3 linked regions of the Saccharomyces cerevisiae S288C genome follow. Changing the gene in region 1 together with any one later gene gives a genetic interaction. Each region holds a gene or a part of one and is shown in the gene's direction. Other genes may lie near its edges.

The links. A genetic interaction does not mean that the proteins touch.
Region 2: mutations in SLA1 (region 1) and ABP1 together harm fitness more than expected from each alone (negative genetic interaction), as found in Saccharomyces cerevisiae (6 studies listed by BioGRID, with this or other methods).
Region 3: mutations in SLA1 (region 1) and BBC1 are lethal when combined (synthetic lethality), as found in Saccharomyces cerevisiae (6 studies listed by BioGRID, with this or other methods).

The regions. Positions count from the first base shown.
Region 1 is NC_001134.8:212,132-221,605, reverse strand, and holds SLA1 (cytoskeletal protein-binding protein SLA1), read left to right. Parts: upstream 1-5,239; coding exon 5,240-8,974; downstream 8,975-9,474. Other genes in the region: YBL005W-A (gag protein), read right to left, coding at 1-276; drug-responsive transcription factor PDR3, read right to left, coding at 1,206-4,136; LDB7 (Ldb7p), read left to right, coding at 4,477-5,019; HIR1 (Hir1p), read right to left, coding at 9,431-9,474. UniProt on the Saccharomyces cerevisiae protein: Component of the PAN1 actin cytoskeleton-regulatory complex required for the internalization of endosomes during actin-coupled endocytosis. The complex links the site of endocytosis to the cell membrane-associated actin cytoskeleton.
Region 2 is NC_001135.5:263,418-267,346, forward strand, and holds ABP1 (Abp1p), read left to right. Parts: upstream 1-1,650; coding exon 1,651-3,429; downstream 3,430-3,929. Other genes in the region: CSM1 (Csm1p), read left to right, coding at 1-547; YCR087C-A (uncharacterized protein), read right to left, coding at 589-1,050. UniProt on the Saccharomyces cerevisiae protein: Regulates ARP2/3 complex-mediated actin assembly. Recruits ARP2/3 complex to sides of preexisting actin filaments, which may promote nucleation or stabilization of filament branches. Binds to actin filaments, but not actin monomers.
Region 3 is NC_001142.9:398,437-404,340, reverse strand, and holds BBC1 (Bbc1p), read left to right. Parts: upstream 1-1,930; coding exon 1,931-5,404; downstream 5,405-5,904. Other genes in the region: MPS3 (Mps3p), read right to left, coding at 1-1,444. UniProt on the Saccharomyces cerevisiae protein: Involved in the regulation of actin cytoskeleton.

The DNA.
Region 1 (9,474 bases):
ATTCATCATGCGCTGCTGTGGGTACGGCCCATTTTGTGGCAATGGTACTTGAGCAGCTTGAGGAGAGGCATGATGATGGTTCTCTGGAACAGCAGATGAGGGAGGTGTTGTTGGCTGTTGAGAATTAGCCTGAGTGGAAACCTTCTCACATTCTTCTGTTTTGGAAGCTGAAATGTCTAACGGATCTTGAGTTGTTTGGACTTCTTTAGAAGTAACCGAAGCACAGGCGCTACCATGAAAAATCGGGGAATGTTGAGATAATTGTTGGGATTCCATTGTTGATAAAGGCTATAATATTAGGTATACAGAATATACACTAGAAGTTCTCCTCAAGGATATAGGAATCCTCAAAATGGAATCTATATTTCTACATACTAATATTACGATTATTCCTCATTCCGTTTTATATGTTTCATTATCCTATTACATTATCAATCCTTGCACTTCAGCTTCCTCTAACTTCGATGACAGCTTCTCATAACTTATGTCATCATCTTAACACCGTATATGATAATATATTGATAATATAACTATTAGTTGATAGACGATAGTGGATTTTTATTCCAACAATTCCACTGTTGTTAGAGACTATAATATTAGATATACAGATAATACTAGAAGTCATACCCAAAGATATAGAAATCTACAAAAGGGAATCGGTGTTTCTACACAATATCATTTTATCGATGTTGAACTTCTAACATTTTCCTATATGCGCAATGTCTTTCCCTTATGAACACGCACAGGCCAAAAACTTACCAGAAATTCTTCTGTATTACAAAAAAAAAGAAATGAATTTATCAAAGTAACGCAACGGCAGCAGAATAGAGAAAGCGTAGTGACCGATGTCAGACGCGAAGGAGTCGCAGATTCTCAAACTAAGGAAAATCCAGCCTCTATGGGTGAATAGCTCATCCAATCGATCCAAGAAAAATTGTTGAGGCTATAATTACATATAATATCTACTGAACAGCTGCATTCCAGGACCTTTTTGAACAGCGCGCCCAAAATTAATGAAGAAATCGTTGATCTTATGTGAAGACCGAACAGAAAGGACAGACTAAAGTTTCGCCCAATTAGCTTACGAACATATAATGACGAGGACGCCACATTCCTCAGTATGAGTAGGGGGTCAATTAAATTCTTGAGTTATAAGTGTCCCATTTACTATGGTTATGCTCTGCTTCCCTATTTTCTTTGCGTTTTCATAAGAAGGGATATGAAGTATTGTCATTCCACAGAGTATGATATAAATCAGTCAGGTCACCACTGCTGACAAACTCCTCTAAAGTACCCAAGTTGTATATATTATTCTCATTAGCGCTTATTTGGCTAGGCGCAGAATGTTGTCTTTTTGTCTGTTGTAACGATCGATCTTGATGCCGCAGATTACATGGAACATTTTCTGATGCGTCTTGAGTGTACGATTCCTCTCCAGAGTTCAACAAAGACGATAACTTCAACGGTGAGTTTGCTGCTGAGGCAGAAGCATTGTTGTATGAAGGAGCAGTACTGTCATACAACTGAGAAATTTGGCTTGAATTTCCTTGGTCTGGAATATTACCAGTGGCCAATTTGTCTCTATACAAAAATTTATAGTCGCTTTCTAACATTTTTCTAATTATTAAATGAAAGCCTGATTTTTCAACGGATTTCAACATGTACCTGTAAATAAAAGAGCGGGTATCAAAAAACTCACGCAAAAGGTCACTTAGACCCGGTTCAACTTCTTTCAAACGTTCGATGAATTCGGCTCTATCAATTTGTTCGGCATAGCAGTATTTTAAAAATATGATTCTTATGGATATGGCAACCAAACTCGAACTTCTCGAAAACTCCCTGAAAGTTTGACAATCATAATCCTTCTCGTCCAAATTATTATTAAAAAAAGAAATAATGTTAGTTATTCTCTTAAAAACTTTCAAAGTGTTGATAACATCCTCTAAAGTGATGTGCGGGTCTTCCACATAAAATTTTGAAGCCATCACGAAAAATATCAGTTCATAAAAGTCCAAACATGCCCAAACAATAAAATCAGTATCAACCTGTATTAAGAATTGATTAATTTCCCTCCATTCTTGAAACATTTCATTCGCATATTTCATGCTTTGCTCAGTTATCACCTCTGGATCTTCAGATAGCCTAGCAATAAGATTGTTAACAGCACCCAAGATGGAGAACCATGTATTTTTATGGTAACTTACAAATTTAGCTGCTTCAATTAGATCGTTTTTTGGATATTCTGGATATTTGCAGTGAGCTACTTGAAAAACTCTTGAGGTGTGAAGCTTTATTTTGGCCAATTTTAACCTAAAAGATTCAATGTCCTCAAAAACTTTCTCCAATAACTTTTGTCTGATAATTGTGGGTTTAACGGATACTTCTAAAGACGTGAATTTCTCATTATAAAGAGTCTCTGAAAAAAAATCTCCAACAATTTGGGCTATCGCTAACTCACCATATTCAATAAGCCTGGACAATGACAAGTTTTTTAGCTTGGGCGATGACGGTGATAAAGAGGACGTACCAATTTTCGTTAAAAATTCTTTATGGTTAATGAATCCCATGTCCCTGAAATCCTTCGGCAAGAGACAATTCATTTGATGTTCATTTATTAAGGATAAATCACCAAGATCAGTTAAAAAACGCTTTTCCAGACTGTATATTTTCCACCATATTTTTCTTCTCCGTTCGGCAGTATTTTCGTCTATTCCAACATAATACTCCCAACGAGACAATCCCATCTTAGTGGAGCATGTAACCGCAACTTCTAGCATTTTTTCAAATCCAAAACGCTCATCAATTTCATTTTGGATTTCTAGCAATGACACTAAAATCTCTAGGTAATCTAAAGTGTTTATGTCCAACATGTGATATAGGGTAACATTGTAGTATGCGTAACAAAGAGTAGATAGAAGATATTCTGATGAGCAGAATGACGAGAATAAAACACTCTTTTCTTGATGGGGCAAGGAGAAAGCTTGGTTTAAAAATTCCGCAAAGCGCTTCCTATGTTGAGCATACATTTGAGTAACTATTCGAAACATCGAAAATGAATCATGTAAATTTTCTATCAATTGAGTAGTCGTAAACCCGGTAATCGATTGTATAAATGGCTGAGGTAGTTGATGAATAACAGAAATGACTAAATCGTTAGATAAAGGTGCTGGGGAAGTAGGCAAACTAGCAGATGCCGTCGTAGTAGGAGTTTGCTTTATTTTTTGAAGATAGTTCTCTAATGGATTAGAAATAGAGATGCAACCTTGGATCAAATGTTCATAACACAAATCAAACAATCTTAATATTAGATAAATAGTTTCCTTTGTATCTATTAACATCGATGAACCCGTGTTTTCGATATTTTTTTTAATTAAATATCCTATACCTCTTAGTGAAAAAGCCTGTATTGGAGAGAAAAGACCAAATACTTCATCTACTAGTGGAGTGGTGGCTAGAAATGAATCTGGACTTTGTGATTTAACCATTTGGTCTGTCCAAAAGGAGAACCTCGTCATGTGTATTTTATTTCTATACTTGTTGGTTAAAAGATACGTTTCTATCGATCTTTGTGGGCGAGGAGAGAAACTGGAAAGCTTGGGGTAGTTTATTTCGGGATTCCAACTGTTAATCAGGTTATTCAACTGCGACTTCGTTTTATCAATCAAGAGCTGAGTGTCATCACAAGGCGGCAGAGCGTACAAATTTGTCAGAATATTTTGATACGTAACCAGTTGATTTTGATATTTGGAATCATCTTTAAAGAGAATATTATTATCATTAGTAGGATTATTGGAAGTATCAGGAGCATGCGTCGCACTCGGAGAGACTGGAGTCTGTATCAGGTCGTTCATCAGTTTGAAGTAATATTGATTATCTAGCTTAATCGCAGTGTCCAGATGCTGTACATCTGCTGAAGCCTCTACATTGGCGTGGGAAGAGGGTGGAGCAACAGCTGTAGTAGGCAAAGACTGGGAACTATCCTCCTTCTGCGGTAAATGTTTTTTTAGGAATACACACGTACAATCGTAAGAAATGCAGTTGGTACATGGATATTTACCTGTGCATTTGATTTTCCTTTTTCTGCAATTGACACATGCTGTCGAAACTTTTGATCTAGTTGATTTCTTCACTTTCATTGCGGTCACGCAATAAGAAAAAATTAATAAAACTGCTGATGCAGTTGTCGCCTAAGACCTATGGTTGCTTTGGAAGGCTCCTGAAGACACAAACACAGGAAATACATAAATACATTAATGAGATTCTATAACAGTATCTACATATTTGCATTCTAAGACTCACTGTGATAGTTCATTTATTATTCCGCGGAAAGTCCGAGCGGCAGAGGAGGCAGCTCCGCGGAAACAAGGGCAGCGCCTGTTGTTCTGGAAGAAAATGAAAAGTGAAATGCAGTTGTCGTGGAAATAATGGCTTTACCTGAAAGCAGCAGAGCACGGTGTTAACAAGGAATAGCTGAGAATGAGTGGAAGTAATATGGGATACTATGACGTACTCGCAGGGCTTTCAGCGCTGGAAAAGTCATCCCAGGTAGTGTTCAGTGCGACTGAGCTTCAACAGCTTACGCAACAATCTCATGCTACCGACAAGGGCATAGAGGGCAGTGAGAATAGTAAAGCGAAGGTATCCAAGCCCAAAAGAGTAGCTGTACATGGTTACCTAGGCGGTAAAGTGTCGCTCGCCGATGCGGCACAGGTGGAGTATGAAGTAGGCCATTCACTGCTGGGCAGTTATGTGCCACGCCAGCAGTTGGAAGCCCTGTCAAGTGTCGACTTTTCGCACCATTTCCACCGCACATTAGAATGCAAAGCTGCTCTAGAGACACACGATGTTTTTCTTGCCGGCGCAGGACAATTGTCTCTACCCTTCCAATCACACATAGAGAGCCCCAGGAATAGCGAGGCTAAAAGGAAAAGAAAAGTGATAATATGCAAACGGTGTCAATCACGATTTATAGGTTCCCATAGGCGGTCTCAACTTAGAGAACATGCCTGCGTAGATTAAACCATGTAATTGATAGAGGTAGAATGTTGCTTCGTAGAAAGTGACTATACGATTCCTAAAAGGGGCTTCCTTCCACTCATGCGAAATCGAGATACATCAGACGAAAACAGAACGAATATTTAGCGCATATATACTATGTATATCTATTGCAATCCTAAAAGAAGGGATAGTGTAACATAGCCAAGGCGACAGAGTGTGTTATATACAAAAGAGCTAGAGTATGACTGTGTTTCTGGGCATCTATAGGGCCGTCTATGCCTATGAGCCGCAGACACCAGAAGAACTGGCCATCCAAGAAGACGATCTGTTGTACCTCTTACAGAAGTCAGACATTGACGATTGGTGGACAGTAAAGAAAAGAGTCATTGGTTCCGATAGCGAAGAACCGGTGGGTCTAGTGCCCTCCACTTACATTGAAGAAGCTCCTGTTTTGAAGAAGGTAAGAGCCATTTATGATTATGAACAGGTGCAAAATGCTGATGAAGAATTGACGTTTCATGAAAATGACGTTTTTGATGTATTCGATGATAAAGATGCTGATTGGCTGTTGGTTAAGTCTACCGTTTCCAATGAATTCGGCTTCATTCCAGGCAATTACGTCGAACCAGAGAATGGGTCCACTTCCAAGCAGGAACAGGCTCCCGCTGCCGCTGAAGCTCCTGCAGCTACTCCTGCAGCCGCTCCTGCTTCTGCTGCCGTACTACCCACCAACTTTTTACCACCTCCTCAACACAATGATAGAGCTCGTATGATGCAAAGTAAAGAAGACCAAGCTCCAGATGAGGATGAAGAGGGCCCTCCTCCTGCCATGCCTGCAAGACCAACGGCTACTACCGAAACTACTGATGCCACCGCTGCGGCTGTTCGATCTCGTACAAGACTATCATACAGCGATAACGATAATGACGATGAAGAGGATGATTACTATTACAACAGCAACAGCAACAACGTTGGAAATCACGAATACAATACAGAGTATCACTCTTGGAACGTTACCGAAATCGAGGGAAGGAAAAAGAAGAAGGCCAAGCTATCAATCGGTAACAACAAGATAAACTTCATACCCCAAAAGGGGACTCCTCATGAGTGGTCAATTGATAAATTGGTCTCTTATGATAACGAAAAGAAACACATGTTCTTGGAATTTGTTGATCCATATAGAAGCCTTGAATTACACACTGGTAATACCACCACATGTGAAGAGATCATGAACATTATTGGTGAATATAAAGGTGCTTCCCGTGATCCTGGGTTGAGAGAAGTCGAAATGGCTTCCAAATCCAAAAAGAGAGGTATTGTTCAATATGACTTCATGGCTGAATCACAGGACGAATTAACCATAAAATCAGGCGATAAAGTCTACATTTTAGATGATAAAAAATCTAAGGACTGGTGGATGTGCCAACTGGTTGATTCAGGGAAAAGCGGTCTCGTTCCTGCACAGTTTATTGAGCCTGTTCGTGACAAAAAACATACTGAATCTACAGCAAGCGGTATCATCAAGTCTATCAAGAAAAACTTCACCAAATCTCCATCTAGGTCGAGATCTAGATCAAGATCTAAATCCAATGCCAATGCCAGTTGGAAAGATGATGAACTACAAAACGATGTTGTAGGTAGTGCTGCCGGTAAAAGGTCAAGAAAAAGTTCATTGTCCTCTCACAAAAAAAACTCTTCGGCGACCAAAGATTTCCCCAATCCAAAAAAATCGCGTCTATGGGTTGATAGAAGTGGTACTTTCAAAGTGGATGCAGAATTCATTGGATGTGCTAAGGGGAAAATCCACTTGCACAAGGCTAATGGTGTCAAGATTGCTGTCGCCGCTGATAAACTATCCAATGAAGATTTAGCGTATGTGGAAAAAATTACTGGGTTCTCCTTAGAGAAATTTAAGGCGAATGATGGGTCTAGTTCCCGTGGCACTGATTCAAGAGACTCTGAAAGAGAAAGAAGAAGGAGATTGAAGGAGCAGGAGGAAAAAGAACGCGATAGGAGATTGAAAGAGCGTGAATTATACGAATTGAAAAAAGCCAGAGAACTCCTAGATGAAGAAAGATCAAGGTTGCAAGAAAAGGAATTGCCTCCAATAAAACCACCAAGACCAACCTCTACTACCTCCGTTCCAAATACGACGTCCGTACCACCAGCCGAAAGCAGCAATAACAACAACTCCAGTAACAAATATGATTGGTTCGAATTTTTCTTGAATTGCGGCGTTGATGTAAGCAATTGTCAAAGATATACAATAAATTTTGATAGAGAACAGCTTACTGAAGACATGATGCCTGACATCAATAACTCAATGTTAAGAACCTTGGGTCTGCGCGAAGGTGATATTGTTAGAGTAATGAAACATCTTGACAAGAAATTTGGAAGAGAAAATATTGCATCAATTCCTACAAATGCCACTGGAAATATGTTTTCACAACCTGATGGTTCATTGAACGTTGCTACAAGTCCGGAAACCTCACTGCCTCAGCAATTGTTGCCACAAACAACAAGTCCTGCTCAAACAGCTCCTTCCACATCAGCTGAGACAGATGATGCTTGGACTGTTAAACCGGCTTCTAAGTCTGAATCTAATTTACTCTCTAAGAAATCAGAATTTACTGGTTCCATGCAGGATTTATTAGACTTGCAACCTTTAGAACCTAAAAAGGCAGCTGCCTCGACACCTGAACCAAACCTAAAAGATTTGGAACCCGTGAAAACTGGCGGCACCACTGTTCCTGCTGCTCCGGTTTCATCTGCTCCGGTTTCATCTGCTCCCGCTCCATTGGATCCATTCAAAACCGGTGGCAACAATATCTTACCCTTATCTACTGGCTTTGTGATGATGCCAATGATTACTGGGGGCGATATGCTGCCTATGCAAAGAACCGGCGGCTTCGTTGTACCACAAACAACTTTTGGTATGCAATCGCAAGTTACTGGTGGTATCCTACCTGTTCAAAAGACAGGAAATGGGTTAATTCCTATCTCTAACACTGGCGGCGCAATGATGCCACAAACTACGTTCGGCGCAGCAGCTACCGTCTTACCTCTGCAAAAAACTGGAGGTGGCCTAATACCAATTGCCACCACAGGAGGTGCGCAATTCCCGCAAACTTCATTCAATGTTCAGGGGCAACAACAACTTCCAACAGGTTCAATATTACCTGTCCAAAAAACTGCTAATGGATTAATTTCAGCTAATACTGGTGTCTCAATGCCAACTGTACAAAGAACAGGCGGCACTATGATTCCACAAACATCATTTGGCGTTTCACAGCAATTAACAGGTGGTGCAATGATGACCCAACCTCAAAATACAGGGAGTGCCATGATGCCTCAAACATCCTTCAATGCTGTACCACAAATTACTGGAGGAGCAATGATGCCTCAAACGTCCTTCAATGCTTTACCACAAGTTACAGGGGGAGCAATGATGCCTTTGCAGAGAACTGGTGGTGCTTTGAATACATTTAATACTGGAGGCGCCATGATTCCCCAGACTTCGTTCAGCTCTCAAGCTCAAAACACTGGCGGGTTCCGGCCGCAATCCCAATTCGGTTTGACTTTACAAAAAACCGGAGGTATTGCGCCATTAAACCAGAACCAGTTCACTGGTGGAGCCATGAATACTTTAAGTACAGGGGGCGTTCTTCAACAACAGCAACCACAAACGATGAATACCTTCAATACTGGTGGTGTTATGCAAGAGCTCCAAATGATGACTACTTTCAATACTGGTGGTGCTATGCAACAACCACAGATGATGAACACATTCAACACCGATGGAATTATGCAACAACCACAGATGATGAACACTTTTAACACTGGGGGTGCTATGCAACAACCACAACAACAAGCATTACAGAACCAACCTACTGGATTTGGGTTTGGTAATGGACCTCAACAATCAAGGCAAGCCAACATATTCAATGCTACTGCATCAAATCCGTTTGGATTCTAGATTAATGTATTTTAAGATTTTATAGGATAATAACTAAAACAAGCTATATGAAATAGTTTCGTACAATCTGTGCTTATACTCGTGAAAATGGCAAATTTCTCTTTTTTTTTTTATAAGTAGTTATGTATGTATTTTACTAATTTTAATATAATCGTTCTCAGTCCCAATAATGTTTTATTGTCATATTATACTAAAGTTGAAATGGTGGAGTCGACCCTAAGAATTTATTTCTTCCAGACAGAGGAGGTGTGTAGTCACTTTGGTTCCACTAATAGACAACCGACATTAAAATACTTCTGATCTGTGCCTTCAGAAAGCTTCATCTGTAACCGCTTGTCTGTATGAGTCGTTTCAAATGGTAACCACTTAAACAATGCGAATACTACAATGATATTTATAAAATATAGACGTAATTATGAGGGAAAAAACTTGTCCAAAGGAAGGGGTATAAGCTTATTATTTATATAACGACCAACAACCCAGATCCTTAGTCCATTTAT
Region 2 (3,929 bases), on another chromosome or scaffold:
CTCAGTGAAACAACAGATCGATTCCGCAGACTTACTAGTGGCAAATTTGGTAAATGAGAATTTCGTACTGTCGGAGAAGCTGGATACAAAAGCAACCGAGATCAAACAGCTGCAGAAGCAGATAGACTCGCTAAACGCACAAGTCAAGGAGCTGAAGACTCAGACTTCCCAACAGGCAGAAAATTCAGAAGTCATAAAGGACCTTTACGAGTACCTCTGTAACGTACGTGTACATAAAAGCTACGAGGATGATTCTGGGTTGTGGTTCGACATCTCGCAGGGCACCCACTCAGGGGGATCTTCCGATGATTATTCGATAATGGACTATAAACTCGGATTTGTCAAGGGCCAGGCCCAAGTCACAGAAGTCATATATGCGCCCGTTCTTAAACAGCGATCCACCGAGGAACTATACTCGCTACAGTCGAAACTACCGGAATACCTCTTCGAAACGTTGAGTTTCCCCCTCTCGTCGCTAAACCAATTCTATAACAAAATCGCTAAAAGCCTGAATAAGAAAAGAGAGAAAAAAGATGAAACCGAGTAAGCTGCTACATAATGTCTATATATCTACACATAAAATTCCGATTATTCCTTTGCATACCTGATTTGCCCCTCAGAATCCACAACCAGACTTTTCAAGAAGGTCTTTTTTGCCCCTTTATCCTTCATGGTTTTCAAAATTTTGTACAACGACTTGCCCTTGTGAAGCTCGATACCGTTCGAGGTCTTTTCCACTTTCTCTGCCTTCTTGATCACAGGCTTCTCCACTTTCTTTGCAGGAGTTGCCACTGGCTGGTGCTGGTGCTGCTTCTGCTGCTGCTTCTGCTGCTGCTTCTGCTTCTGCTTCTTGTTGCCCTTGTACAACGCTTTCTGGTACTTCTCGTCCTCGCTGATGCAAGACGTGTGATTCTTGTAACTCACGCCATCTTCAAACGTCTTGGAGCAATCTATGCATGTATAGTACGCGTTAGGACATCTATAATAATGCTTTTCGGTATTCTTCTTGGGCACAGTATCATTACACACCTCACAGTTGAACGTAACCATCCTGTAATAACAAATATTTCTTGACTGAGACCGTTTGCTGTTGTATACAGAATACTCTTAGAGCTCATCGCAAGTTAAAAATTTTCAATTTTTTTTCACTTTTTCCCGTCAAGGCAAAAAGCAACCAAAAGAGAATGAACCTTTATTTTTGATTTATTTATTATGAGATGCTGCTAGTCCACTCATCTGCATCAATGTAGTAGTCACAAAGCTAATATTTAGACGTTACTTTGATATCTCTGTCCATGAGAGCACTTATTTTAGGAAGTTAAATGAGACAGTCAATAGTTCACAATATCCCGTCAGCAATGGAGGGAAAAGGCATTCCTTTTCCATAGGATTTTAATCGTTTTCAAGCATCATACGCCCTCGAGGAACTCTTGTTTTCGCTTTACTATGCAACCATTGATGTATTTCTGTATAAATGTGCGTCACGTGGCCTTGTGTCTCTTATTTCCACTTGTTTTTTCACAATGCGGAAAACCTCGATTAAAGTAGAAAAAAAGGATATAATAGGAGTATACCATATTGGATAGTTCAATCTATAAACAAACAATCGCATAACCGCACGTATATACACGCACACACCTATCAATCACAATGGCTTTGGAACCTATTGATTATACTACTCACTCGAGAGAGATCGACGCAGAGTACCTGAAGATTGTCAGAGGCTCCGATCCTGACACCACCTGGTTGATTATTTCACCCAATGCGAAAAAAGAATACGAACCTGAGTCTACCGGTTCCTCCTTTCACGATTTCTTGCAATTGTTTGATGAAACCAAGGTCCAGTACGGACTGGCACGTGTGTCCCCACCAGGGTCAGACGTTGAGAAGATTATTATCATTGGTTGGTGTCCTGATTCTGCGCCATTGAAGACAAGGGCCTCTTTCGCCGCCAATTTTGCTGCAGTTGCTAATAATCTGTTCAAGGGTTACCACGTTCAAGTTACCGCCAGAGACGAGGACGATCTTGACGAAAATGAACTGTTGATGAAAATCAGTAACGCGGCCGGTGCCCGTTATTCTATTCAGACTTCCTCCAAGCAACAGGGGAAGGCTTCCACTCCTCCCGTGAAGAAATCCTTCACACCTTCCAAGAGCCCTGCTCCAGTTTCTAAGAAGGAACCAGTCAAGACTCCTTCCCCAGCACCTGCTGCTAAGATTTCTTCCCGTGTTAACGACAACAATGACGACGACGATTGGAATGAGCCTGAATTAAAGGAACGCGACTTCGATCAGGCTCCCCTGAAACCAAATCAATCATCTTACAAACCAATTGGCAAAATCGACTTGCAAAAAGTGATTGCTGAAGAAAAGGCTAAGGAGGACCCACGTCTTGTTCAAAAGCCAACCGCTGCTGGTTCCAAGATTGATCCTAGTTCTGATATCGCTAATTTAAAGAACGAATCAAAATTAAAGAGGGACTCCGAGTTTAACTCCTTTTTGGGCACCACTAAACCCCCCTCCATGACGGAATCTTCATTAAAGAATGATGATGATAAAGTCATTAAGGGTTTTAGAAACGAGAAATCACCTGCTCAATTATGGGCCGAAAGAAAGGCAAAGCAAAACAGCGGCAACGCCGAAACTAAGGCTGAGGCACCAAAACCTGAAGTTCCAGAAGATGAGCCTGAAGGTGAACCTGACGTCAAAGATTTGAAATCAAAATTTGAAGGATTGGCCGCTTCAGAAAAAGAGGAGGAAGAAATGGAAAACAAATTTGCTCCTCCTCCAAAGAAATCAGAACCAACTATTATCTCACCAAAACCCTTCTCCAAGCCACAAGAACCTGTGAAAGCTGAAGAAGCCGAGCAGCCTAAGACTGATTACAAGAAGATCGGCAACCCATTACCCGGTATGCACATTGAAGCGGATAATGAGGAAGAACCAGAAGAGAATGATGATGACTGGGATGATGATGAAGACGAGGCTGCTCAACCTCCTTTGCCTTCGAGGAATGTTGCGTCAGGAGCACCAGTGCAAAAAGAAGAGCCTGAACAAGAAGAGATCGCCCCAAGCTTACCTTCTAGAAACTCGATCCCAGCTCCAAAACAAGAAGAAGCACCTGAACAAGCACCTGAAGAAGAAATTGAAGAAGAAGCTGAGGAAGCCGCTCCACAGCTGCCATCAAGAAGCTCTGCAGCTCCTCCTCCGCCTCCAAGACGAGCAACTCCAGAGAAAAAGCCAAAGGAAAATCCTTGGGCCACAGCAGAATATGATTACGATGCTGCAGAAGATAACGAACTGACCTTTGTGGAAAATGACAAGATTATCAATATTGAATTTGTCGACGATGACTGGTGGCTAGGGGAACTAGAGAAAGACGGCTCAAAAGGTCTCTTCCCCAGCAATTATGTGTCTTTGGGCAACTAGAATCACACGTCAGCGTCATGCTATTATATTATTCTTACGTAAAAAAATACTTACAGAGACGTTAAAGCTTTTGTATAGATACTTTCACGAGCCTTCCCTTTCAGTAAAATGAACAAATTATTTTGCCTTGTCCTTCTTTGTTTCAAGCGTTTATATGACTCCTCTACAGTATTATTTTTCAACAGACGGTGTGCCCGTACGGCGTTGTCAAAACCTCGAACATAAAACAACACTGAAACAAACTTATTGCACTCCTGCATCGCATACAGATCTGATACTTACTACAACCATAATGCTGTTTTAGAATCGCATCAGGTGTTTACCAGAAGTGTATGGTACATGGTGCTTTCCTTATGCTCACTATTTCGGATTTACTTCTAGTCTATGTATAGATTTGTTAGAGACCAGTTTTAAGCTACAATGGAACGTTAAGATTAAGAAATGCATGAAGAGTCTCCCAGTAGATATATAAAGCTGAATTAAATTCAGTACAATGGAAG
Region 3 (5,904 bases), on another chromosome or scaffold:
CGTTCTCACATTGCCAGTAAGTTGAGGAGCTTTGTTTGGAGTCGGTCAGTAATTCTATCGGCTGTACCCCACTGCCCTGTCTCCAGGTTGGTGAAGTTAAATGGTTCAATAGTTTAGTACCTTGAACATAAGTAGCAAAATCTAAATCGTCCTCCCATTGGTGTTGATTGGAATTGTAAATTTGGTGAATTAATCTTTTCATTAATATGCTCGAATACTGCTGTGGCACGTTAGAATAATCCTGTTGAACCTGCTGCTGCTGCTGCTGCTGCTGTGTCTCTAACCTATTTGTGATCTCTTCCCAAATCTCCTGTTTGTTAGATTGCAACCTTCTGTTCATTTCTTGGATGAAATAATCCTTATCGATATATTGCAACTCATTCGAAAGAATTTCCTTTACATAGCGATTCAAATCATACTCCCAACGACTTTCAGCGCTTCCAGCAGTACCAATGCCTGGAGACTCAATAACGTCTGAAATCAAAGCACTCAAATAATTGTGCAATTCAGGGATTATTAAAAGCGACGAAGAATTATTAATTACAACGGGTATTTCTTGAGGGAGGTGTGTATCCAACTGTTTTACCAGTTGATCTTGCCATTGAGTAACATTCTCGACCGTAAATTTGTGATTTCGCCTCTGTAACTCACTCATGGAAGTTGAAATTGTCTCAACCTGTTTTGTCAGCGAGTTAATGTCATTTTCAAAATTAACCAAATTTGAGGGTAAAAGTCTTTTAATATTCTTTTCAAATTGAGAGACAATGATTTTTACTGTTTTATCCAATTCTGAACTGTGCTTTTCGTCCCGCTTACTCAACTCACTATATAAATGATTCACCTGTTTTTGTAGGTTGCTGAATGATTTGCCTGGAGAGGATGTAGCGCCGGATGAATGGCTTTCTAAATCATTATTTTTCACGGTTGTCATCAAAAAAGATCCAAAAAAATAAAAAACGAAGAAAAGGCCTCCATAGAAAATGTACGTCCGCCACTTCAACTTCTTAGCTTCACCTGAACTTTCCAAGTTCTCTTCAAAGTCAGAATTACTTTCCAAATCGTAGCTGTCGGAATCGCTGTCTTCTATAAAACTCTTGTCTGCCTCATCTGTATAGTCCTCGTCGCTATATCCGTCGGTCTCTTGTCCATTATCCTCAATGTACGGATCATCATCGTCGTCATCATTATGTTGGTCTAACGGAAAATCAAGATTTTTTTTGAACATTTCGTACGCGGAATCATTCTCTTTATCCATATCATAGTTGTCAGTTTCACCGCCATCGGTGTATATCCCTTTTTTGATGGCTCGTAGGCTAATCTCCTGTTCCCTATTCATTTTGTCCTTGAGGACATCTGCATACGCGGACTTTACAGCCTTATTGTAAGGCATTTGTTCATTAGCCGCTCCTGCCTCTTCCCGCCTATGCTCATTTGAGTTATTCATTTCCAGCACTTCCAGGATAAAAGTTACTACCAACTGAAAACAAGAGAAACCGCCGTGAAACTATGGAGCACTACAGTTAAAACACCACTAACTCCACTCTGTTGACTTTTATCTGTAACTCCTCATGACAACCTTGTTGATAATTATCTCAAGATGACGATATTTACATTGTCATTATATTCCATTTTCGCGTCTCATATGTTACCCGTATCAAAGAGTATAACCCTATCAATAAGTGATGTGTATCATTTATAAACCTCATATTTTAAGAATAAACCTATATAATATAGGAATATACCCTGAAAATAGTTAGAGGTCTACAATGCCCCTATTTTACCTCCAGAATTATAATCTCCTTAAGACTTCAACTAGAAGTGGTATTTACTAGCACACTGTGAAACAGTAGCGTCAAGTCGGTAGTAAACATCAATCGCGTCCCAACTGCAAGAGCTACTAGAAGTAAACACAGTCTTACCCAAACTAAGGATGAGTGAACCCGAAGTGCCCTTCAAGGTGGTGGCTCAGTTCCCATACAAGTCCGATTACGAGGACGATTTAAATTTTGAAAAAGATCAAGAGATTATTGTTACGTCTGTTGAAGACGCCGAATGGTACTTTGGTGAATACCAGGATTCAAATGGCGACGTTATTGAGGGTATCTTCCCGAAAAGTTTTGTTGCTGTTCAGGGATCTGAAGTTGGAAAGGAAGCCGAATCATCTCCGAATACCGGTTCCACTGAGCAACGTACAATCCAGCCGGAAGTAGAACAAAAGGACCTACCAGAGCCCATTTCCCCTGAAACGAAGAAAGAAACTCTGTCCGGGCCAGTGCCAGTTCCAGCCGCTACAGTGCCAGTTCCAGCCGCTACAGTGCCAGTTCCAGCCGCTACAGCAGTATCAGCACAGGTCCAGCATGATAGTAGTAGTGGTAATGGCGAAAGAAAAGTTCCCATGGATTCTCCAAAATTGAAGGCTCGCTTATCTATGTTTAATCAAGATATAACGGAGCAAGTTCCTTTACCAAAATCAACTCACTTGGATTTAGAAAACATACCTGTGAAAAAAACAATTGTGGCAGATGCTCCTAAATACTATGTCCCCCCTGGAATTCCAACAAATGATACGTCCAATCTTGAAAGGAAAAAGTCCCTAAAGGAAAACGAAAAAAAGATTGTTCCCGAACCAATTAATCGTGCACAGGTGGAAAGTGGAAGAATAGAAACTGAGAATGACCAATTAAAGAAGGATTTGCCCCAGATGAGCCTTAAAGAAAGAATTGCTCTTTTACAGGAGCAACAAAGATTACAGGCTGCAAGAGAAGAAGAACTCTTGAGAAAAAAGGCTAAGCTCGAACAAGAACATGAACGTAGTGCGGTTAACAAGAATGAGCCCTATACGGAAACTGAAGAAGCAGAAGAAAATGAAAAAACTGAACCGAAACCTGAATTTACGCCTGAAACTGAGCACAACGAGGAACCGCAAATGGAATTATTGGCACATAAAGAGATTACTAAAACCTCACGCGAAGCAGATGAAGGCACGAATGACATAGAGAAAGAACAATTTTTAGATGAGTACACAAAGGAAAATCAGAAAGTTGAGGAGTCACAAGCAGACGAGGCAAGAGGAGAAAATGTTGCTGAGGAAAGCGAAATAGGTTACGGCCATGAAGACAGAGAGGGAGATAATGATGAGGAAAAAGAAGAGGAAGATAGTGAAGAGAATCGTAGGGCCGCATTGAGAGAAAGAATGGCTAAACTATCTGGCGCTAGTAGATTCGGTGCTCCTGTTGGTTTTAACCCCTTCGGTATGGCTTCTGGAGTTGGAAATAAACCATCAGAAGAGCCGAAAAAGAAACAGCATAAGGAGAAGGAGGAGGAGGAACCTGAACAGCTCCAAGAACTACCTCGTGCCATACCTGTTATGCCATTTGTTGACCCAAGTTCTAACCCATTTTTTAGGAAATCAAATCTAAGTGAGAAGAATCAACCCACTGAAACAAAGACGCTAGATCCTCATGCAACCACAGAGCATGAACAGAAGCAAGAACATGGTACACACGCCTATCACAATTTAGCTGCTGTTGATAATGCACATCCCGAATACTCTGACCATGATTCTGATGAAGATACTGACGACCACGAGTTTGAGGATGCAAACGATGGGTTGAGAAAGCATTCGATGGTGGAGCAAGCTTTTCAGATAGGTAATAATGAGTCAGAGAATGTTAATTCCGGAGAAAAAATTTACCCTCAAGAACCACCAATCTCCCACCGTACTGCAGAAGTATCACATGATATTGAAAATTCATCACAAAACACAACTGGAAATGTTTTGCCTGTCTCTTCCCCACAAACAAGAGTTGCTCGCAACGGGTCGATAAATTCTTTGACTAAATCCATTTCAGGGGAAAATCGGCGGAAATCCATAAACGAGTATCATGATACAGTTTCCACTAATTCATCTGCATTAACAGAAACCGCTCAAGATATTTCGATGGCAGCTCCAGCAGCTCCAGTTCTAAGTAAGGTGTCACATCCTGAGGACAAGGTGCCACCTCACCCAGTGCCTTCTGCACCCTCTGCACCTCCAGTACCCTCTGCACCTTCAGTACCCTCTGCACCTCCAGTACCTCCAGCACCTCCAGCACTCTCTGCACCTTCAGTACCCCCAGTACCCCCAGTACCTCCAGTATCTTCAGCACCTCCAGCACTCTCAGCACCTTCAATACCTCCAGTACCTCCAACACCTCCAGCACCTCCAGCACCTCCAGCGCCTCTTGCGCTGCCTAAACACAATGAAGTAGAAGAACATGTCAAGTCATCTGCTCCCCTTCCACCTGTATCCGAGGAATATCATCCTATGCCAAATACTGCTCCGCCACTTCCACGTGCACCACCAGTACCACCGGCTACTTTTGAATTTGACTCTGAACCAACAGCCACTCATTCACATACAGCTCCTTCTCCTCCACCACATCAAAATGTCACGGCCTCTACACCTTCAATGATGAGTACGCAACAACGTGTGCCAACCTCAGTACTATCTGGGGCAGAAAAAGAATCACGAACCCTACCGCCCCATGTGCCTTCATTGACGAATCGTCCTGTGGATTCATTCCATGAGTCAGATACTACACCGAAGGTGGCCTCTATAAGAAGGTCAACGACGCATGATGTAGGCGAGATTTCCAACAACGTCAAGATAGAGTTTAATGCACAAGAAAGATGGTGGATTAATAAAAGCGCACCTCCTGCTATAAGCAATCTGAAGTTGAACTTTTTGATGGAGATCGATGATCATTTCATTTCCAAAAGATTACATCAAAAATGGGTGGTAAGGGATTTTTACTTCTTGTTTGAAAACTATTCGCAACTAAGATTCTCCTTGACCTTTAATAGTACAAGCCCAGAGAAAACGGTAACGACTCTTCAAGAACGCTTTCCATCGCCAGTCGAAACACAATCAGCACGTATTCTTGATGAATACGCTCAAAGGTTTAATGCGAAAGTTGTAGAGAAATCTCATTCATTGATAAATTCACATATTGGGGCTAAGAATTTCGTGTCACAAATTGTATCCGAATTCAAAGACGAAGTTATACAACCCATAGGAGCAAGAACGTTTGGCGCAACTATATTGAGTTATAAACCTGAAGAAGGAATCGAACAGTTGATGAAGAGCTTACAGAAGATTAAACCAGGTGACATTCTTGTAATTAGAAAGGCCAAATTTGAAGCTCATAAAAAGATCGGAAAAAACGAAATTATCAACGTTGGAATGGACTCCGCCGCTCCGTATTCGAGTGTTGTTACTGATTATGATTTTACAAAGAATAAGTTTAGAGTTATCGAAAATCACGAGGGAAAGATTATTCAAAACAGCTACAAGCTAAGCCATATGAAAAGTGGGAAGTTAAAGGTTTTCAGAATTGTTGCGAGAGGATACGTAGGTTGGTAATTTACCCAATGCTTCCAAGGGGAAATTGTGAATGCTTTCGATTTCATCATTTTCCTTTCGCATTTTCTTATCGTTATAGTTTAAGTGTATATTTTCATAACTCTTCTACAGAAGAAACTATACAAAGATTAAACAACCGTTTTTGTATCAGGTCTTATTTGAGCGGCTCAAAACGAAAGGTAGGATTCACTTATCTTACCGCCGTCAATAGTATCCCAAGTTGTACCTTTTCGTATATACCTACAATTCTGGCTTCAGACGCAGTAATTTTTGAGCAATCGTAACAAACGGTTTGCCCCTAGAGTTTGAATTTTTCTTCATCACTCCATGATAGTGCTCTCATATATTATCTTACGGAAATTAATCCAATATAGGTGCCCAAAGGTTGAAATTAATACGAACTTTGACCTGGCCTTAATTATCGATTCTAATACTATCTGAGTTTAAAGAACTTGCGGGGAAGAAATACGGAAAACATAGAAAGGCGATGGCAGATGAAG